2 linked regions of the Caenorhabditis elegans genome follow. The protein of the gene in region 1 interacts with the protein of each later gene in a biochemical or structural test. Each region holds a gene or a part of one and is shown on either strand. Other genes may lie near its edges.

The links.
Region 2: the proteins of pat-10 (region 1) and unc-27 interact in far-western blotting, tested with the Caenorhabditis elegans proteins (2 studies listed by BioGRID).

Annotation. Positions count from the first base shown.
Region 1 is NC_003279.8:5,018,280-5,021,793, forward strand, and holds pat-10 (EF-hand domain-containing protein), read right to left. Parts: upstream 1,808-3,514; 5' UTR 1,785-1,807; coding exon 1,782-1,784; intron 1,714-1,781; coding exon 1,662-1,713; intron 1,612-1,661; coding exon 1,505-1,611; intron 1,098-1,504; coding exon 942-1,097; intron 892-941; coding exon 724-891; 3' UTR 703-723; intron 648-702; 3' UTR 504-647; downstream 1-503. Other genes in the region: C46H11.6 (PDZ domain-containing protein), read left to right, coding at 2,598-2,811, 3,303-3,496.
Region 2 is NC_003284.9:8,787,742-8,791,178, reverse strand, and holds unc-27 (Troponin I 2), read right to left. Parts: upstream 1,724-3,437; coding exon 1,574-1,723; intron 1,523-1,573; coding exon 1,251-1,522; intron 1,171-1,250; coding exon 1,029-1,170; intron 974-1,028; coding exon 844-973; intron 797-843; coding exon 762-796; 3' UTR 558-761; downstream 1-557.

The DNA.
Region 1 (3,514 bases):
GAGTTGAGCACAGATAGAGAAAAAGAGAGGGATTTGTTGAATTTAGATTTGGAACAATTGAAATAGTGAAAAACTGTTTTGCAAGTTCACAAGTATCCTGAAATTCATTCGTAGAAAATCTACATAGAGAATTGTCACTTTACTTTTGCAAATTTACAAAAACTGTCCTGTTGCGCTAAAACGGTAAAAACTGTAATGCCGCAGAGTAGAGGTCTCATTTGCAGTGATTTAATACATTTTCCATTTTTCATAATTTTCATTCTATTTAGAGACACTTCACTTTCAAACAACAAGGTTGCAACGGTGAATCTCTATATTTATAGAGATTTGTCATTCCATTCCCCGTAGATGGACTTTTCCCGTTTTTTTAGGTCAAGAGAAAACGGAGCACTATACTGCGGATTTGATGTTGTGTTAAAGGATTTGAGAAGTCTAGTTCTTCTGATTATTTCCTGATTTTGGCCGTTTCAAATTGGTCACACTCTTCCAATAAGCCTGTGGATGTACAAAGACTTTTATTCATTTTTATTCATTCAAAAGAATGACAAGAAAATTAATAAAAAGTGAAATGAATTTAACATTTCAAGAAAAAGGAAATTATGAAAAGTTGGTGACTGGTCCCCACAGTTGAAGATTGTAGATCAGCGCTGAAAAATAAAAAGTTAGTTTTTGAATAAAATCAAAAAAAGCTCGAACACTTACATTTTAAAGGAATTAGAAAATTTAATCAGACTCTCCAGCCATCAACTCCCAGAACTCCTCGAACTCAATCTTTCCGGAACCGTCCTCGTCAATCTCGTCGACAGCCTCCTCGAGTTGTTGATCGGTGAGGTCATCGGCGATTTCTTTGAGAAGAGCCTTCAGAGTTGGTCGAGAAATATATCCGTTACCCTGAAAAATTAATAATTAAAGAATAAAAAGCAAAATCTAAAAGTACAAACCTCCTTGTCGAAAAGACGGAAAGCTTCACGAAGTTCTTTCTCCAATGTTTCCTTGTCGACAGTGTTTGCAACGGTGTACACGAGAGCGCAGAACTCGTCAAACTCGAGCTTTCCGGAACCGTCAGCGTCGAACTTGCGGATCAGTTTACGAAGGGTCTAAAAGAATGAAGTTAGATGCCACATAGATTTAGAAAAATCAAAATCATCAATTCTATAACTAAATTTCATAACATATAGTTATATCTTACTTTAGTCGACATAATAAATGCTTTTGTTCAGATGGAATATCAAAATTAATTATTTCACAAACATTAGTAACATGTTTTAGTGGCGAAAATTAATTGAATTCAGTTGAGAAACAAGCCGCAGAAGATAGGTCGGATAAAAACAAAATTTTAGGCAAGAGTAACCCATTTATATTTTCGGTTATCTTACTCAGTTGGCCTACCTAATCATTACCGTGAAACCTAAATTTAAAAGAGTTGAAAACTTCCTAATTTGAATTATCACTCTTCTGAAGATCCCCTAACTCTACATAAACCAAAAGTTCCAAAATGATTTACCTTCTCATCGAAATCCTGTTCCATTCCATGCATGATTTGACCGATCTGAGTGGCCATGATGTATCCTTGCTTTCCTCTGTCGAAGGCATCGAAGAACTTTTGGTATTCTAGAAAGTTTTAATGATGATTTTTCAATCATAAATATAAAATATCTTACCCTCAATTTGGGATCCGTCGATTTCAGCAAGAATCTCTTCGATATCCTCAGCCTATAAAAGTATAAACATATAAAAATTCAAAAAGAAATTTATTGAAGACATGAGAAAGCGGGACTCACCATGTTGTCGGAGTTTGTTGTGCTCTGGATAAGCTTCGTCGGGCAGAAGCAACGGCGGGAGCGAGTAGGCGGAGGAACCCGAGGGCGGGCTTTTCTTTCTCACAACGGCATCATCGTCTCCTCCACAAAACACATTCTTGGTGTTACACTGGGTGACAGATGCTCCTGATCAACGGGCATGAGAGATCATAGAGGGCGAAGAGACGCAGAATGATATCTGTGTGGAAGTTGACGATGATTTTTGCGAAACACAGGATTCGAGAGACAAGGCTCTCCGAGAAGGAAGGGGAAACGGGAGGAGAGTACGAAGAAAGATTGGGGGGACAGGCAACCAAGGATCAATAAAAGTCCAGGAAATAGAAAAAAAATAATATAATTGGAGTAGAATTAAGTACAGAAATGGAGTTGACAGGCAATATATGTAATTGAACTTTCCCAGAATACTTGGATTCTTAGCTGTACATGGTGACCAGAACATCTAGCCTTTTTGGGCTTCAGAACACAACAACGTTTTTTTTTCAGTTTTTTTAAATGTGCACTGAGTATGTATATCTTTACAGTTTTATATCAAACGTTTAATTTGAATACTATTTTATAATTCTCAAGTTTCTCCAGTAACTTTTTATCGCGTGACACACCATTTTGAATTTAAACTTTATGTTTTTCCAATTCAGTTTAGTCGAGGGGGAGGAGGTAGATTTCTAATCATTCTTATTTATCATTTGACACTAAATTTCCGGATTTCAAAAGGAAACCATAATCGTGAGTTTGGAGCTAACAAGTAACTTCGGAAAACGTTATTTCTTTTGAAGAAGAATGTCGAAGAAAAAAGTGCAGAATACGAACAAAAAGATGAAAGAATGTTGGCTGACACCGATCCCACAGAATGTGGAAACTGTAAATATGACAGTTTCATTCAAGATTGATGAAAAAGATGTCGGAAAGCCTGCGAATGAAGTTATTAGAATTAATGAGAATTCGATGGTTTCTTTCCTATCAACAAACTCGTTTTACAATGGATTGATATTGAGTAAGTTTCCAACGGCCGGATAACCCGAAACTATTTTGAAGCGGGCCAACTTCATAACAGAATCTTGCAACTTCTTACAAACCATTATTTACTTTAGTTTTCTAACAAATTTCTGCAGCTTTTCAGATGACTCTTGCAATTTCTTTTGGCAAACTTTATGAAACATTTCGCTTAGAACTGCTCCGGTTTTTGCAACTTTGTAACATCTCTTGGCAATTGTTTATAAATGTTTGTTTCAAGTTGCAAGAGTTTGCTATGAAGTTGTGATGTTTTGCCGAACAAATGTATATTTATCCCCGATAAAATAATAGGCAAAAATTGGTTTGACTGGTACAAGGGTTTCAAAACTCTTCTGTCCACAATTATACATTTTGAGCCAGGAAAAGTCAATTTTCCTCGGAAGACTCCCTAGTTTCTTTTCCACTTTACACTTTTCCAATTAATGTATTAAACCAGTTTAAAAAACTAGATTAAAAATACTTTTCTTTCAGGCGACAAAATAGTCAAGGTGAACGGTGCCAGTGGAAATATATCCAAGTATCAGACAGAGCTCATGAAAGGTGAAACATGTAGTGTTGAGGTTACAAGACGGAAAAATATTATCCCAGCGACCAGAGAACGGTTGAAGAAATCGGGATGTGTTTTGAGACGGGACAATACGTGCTTTGTTATTGAAGTTGAAAAGGTATAATTGAAGAAAAAT
Region 2 (3,437 bases), on another chromosome or scaffold:
ACCAGTTTTTTTTTGTTTATTAGACTCAGTAATATACTAGTACAGTACTTTTGGAAAACTATTGACTTTTCATTGAAATGTGCTCTCCTGTTTGCTTTTCCAAGCTATCAACTTCCCTTGATTTTCTCCATAGATCACGATAATCTTCAAATTTACTGCAGCATTGTATCATAACAGCTAAACTGTGAATATGAATATTGCTGATTAAGTTCTGCACAATTAAAAGAGATATTTTCATGTATCAATTTTCAACAGATGGAAACTTGATCGAAATTTTGAAATTGCAAGAACAGTTTTTTTGGCGTCTGTGGTGTTGAATGTTGTGAGTGTTTCAAAATTGTGTCAAAAATATTTGAAATACTTTTTGAAACGTTATCTGACAAATGAGTTTGTCAAAGCGTCCCAAAATTATTCGCACTATTCTTAGAGCCCAGGAGAGTGATCCTCTCATGTTTTCCTCCCACGTTCTCCTTCACTTATCACTTTTAACCAGACACTCCCTACTACACTTCACACTTCCTTCTCATATTTCTTCAAGGATTCAAACACACAAGTCTGACCACCAAGATTTTATTAGCACACACGTTGTTGACATTTAAATTTCCGGGACCCATCGAAGGAAGAATAAAATGGTAAAAAAGTATTTTACAAACTACAGAATATTGATGTTGGCATATTTTTTTTTGGGGAGGGGGGTTGTTCGGTTTGATGACGTCGATTTGGATGATGTTGAGCAGGATTGAAGTGATGGATTTAGGAGTTTACTCCTCCTCCTCCTCCTCTCCTTCCTCTTCCTCTGCAAGTTTTCAGTTATCGAGAAAATCTAAATCATTTTTGACAAACCGGCTTCTGGCTCAGCCTCGGCTTCCTCTGCAACTGGCTCAGCTTCTGGAGCAACGGCAGCTGGAGCGGAGTCTTCGGCCTTGGCATCCTTGTTCTTCTTGGACCAATCTGGCTTGTCGTCCTTCTTCTTCTGAAATTGAAATATTTGTTTATCAAAATTCTCGAACATTGCAGATAAAACTTACAACATTGACGATGGCCTCCATAACGTCCTTCTTGACAATCTTGAGGTTGGCACGGAAGTCTTCCTTGGTTCCGGCCTTGCTCTCACCGCTCTTCTTGAACTTGTTGTCGTACTTCGACACCTTCTTGAGTGAAGGCTTGACGCTGAAAAATAAAAAGTAAAATCAATACTTTGGATGATTTTACATATATGGGAAATTCATCAAAAACTGATAAAAACTCACAACTTTCCACGAAGATCGTTGACCTCAATAGTGAGGGAGTTGATCTCAGCCTCAGTCTGGGAGACGACGTAGTTGATGTCGTACTTCTCCTCCTCGAGCTGGGTAAGACGAGCCCAGAGGTCATTGTAGATCTTCTCGAGTTGTCCCTTATCATCAATGGAGTCAACATTTGGAAGTGAGATGGTTCTGTCAGCAAGAGCCTTTTGTCTTTCTTGCTCCTTAAGCAATTGTTGTCTCTTAAGATCCTCGGCGGCCTTGACCATCAAAAGCTTCTGAAATCAAAAATAAGTTAAACATTTAAGTGTTCCAAAAACACAACTTACACGAAGCTTCTTCTTACGCTCTGGTGTCAAGAATCCCTTCTTGGCCTTCTTCTTGTTTCCGGCCTCTTCGAGACGCTTGCGCACCTCGGCCTTCTTGGCCTCGCGCTCGGCAGCTTTGCGCTGGGCGTCCTCTCCGGCTTCTTCACTCATCTGAAATTTTAGTTTGGGGTACAAGTATCACAAAACAGAAGATTAAATTCACAAAATGAATAATTTTTGAATGAGCATAAAACAAATTAGCGGCGAGCCTGATCATGCATCCGAAGGCCTTGTGAATTGAAATCTGAAGTATCCTGCCAATAGATGTCGCAACTCGTGAGAGGTACCTAGAGTTGGCAACAGCCGCCCCACAAACCGCCCGCCCTCCAATTCTGTATCTTTGGGTCTCTCGGACAATGCCATACAGACAGATGCTCTTTCCAACACGTCTCCCGCTTGTTGTAATGATTCTTGCCTACCAATTGCGTTGGCCGAGATTGATTGAAGACAAGCGAGAGATAGGGATAGAGCTGTGGCAACTTCAGTGGAAAAAACCAACGGAACGCGGCAAGAAGATATTGGTTTCAGATGGGGCAGTGGGTCAAGTTATGAGCTATTCGGTGAATGGGGCTCCGAACAATTTATGAAGCTAGTCTGTAGTTTTTCTGTATTTTCAAAAAGAAGATATGTGATCAAAAATCAAAATCGTACTACTAAAAATACCTAAACAATTTTTAAAATAACATACTGATTTTTCAACGGTGTCACTGAGTTCATCAATTCGATTGCTTTTTTGTAGTTGTGACATGGCTCGCTAGTGAGATCTGTAAATATTTGTTGGATAAATTGTTTCAAAAGTGAATTGGAACATGACATTTTTCATCAGAATCAAGAATAATTTTATTTATTTTTTCACAGTGTTTTGTTTTCAACCATTTCTCTTTCAGTTCCATAATTTCATGCTGTCACGTAGGATTTGAGTAGGTCAGAAAACAAAAAAACCTAAAAAAAAATTGACAAGCTGACAAGTGTGACGTGTGGAAAAATACAATAAAAATAGTCACGGTGGCCGGTGAGACTCTCTTGAAATTCAATATGTTAGGGACCATGAGTTGAAAGTGTTGCGAGGTGTGGGCAGATGTTTGAGATTTGTGATAAGTGATAAAGAAAAAAGATAGCGGGGATAATGAAATTGGGTATGCAAATCATCATTAGTTATCACAAAAAGTTGAATATTATTACTTTCAAATTGAATTTATCAGTTGTTATCATAAAGTAGTTATTTTTGACAAGACTATAAAATAAGTGAATCTAAATCATTAAAAAAATCACACATTCAAAAATCAGATCACAACGAGAAAAATCTACATTTTCCAACAATGGTAAATAACAACCCGAAACTTGTAAATAAATTCCAATTCCCTGTAACTATTTTCACACCCATTTTAGTTTATGGAGTAGTGATGGATTAAACCGATCTATTGTCCTGTTTATTTTTAACACTTTTTTCCATAAACATTCACATTCTTATCTTGAATTGTTTTCAACTGTGTTATCACGCTTTTCTGCCAATCTCCGAATAGTTTACACTGTTTTCTTCTGATGCGGCAAGCTCTATCTTTCTTTTGATACATTGTTCATTGCAACGAGTATATAGAGAAAGAGAAACATCGGAAGAAGATACAGAAAAATAGCTGATGGAGGCGATGATGATGTTTTGGTTAAAAACGTTGAGCAGTAGTGGGGGCACAAGTGTTACGAAATATTATTATACATGAGCGGTTGTCATATGGGTAAATTAATTGGCACTACCGAACTTTTACAGCTTACAATTTTTTACTTTTAGAAAATTATTTCTTGATTGCTATCAAGGAATAATTTTCAT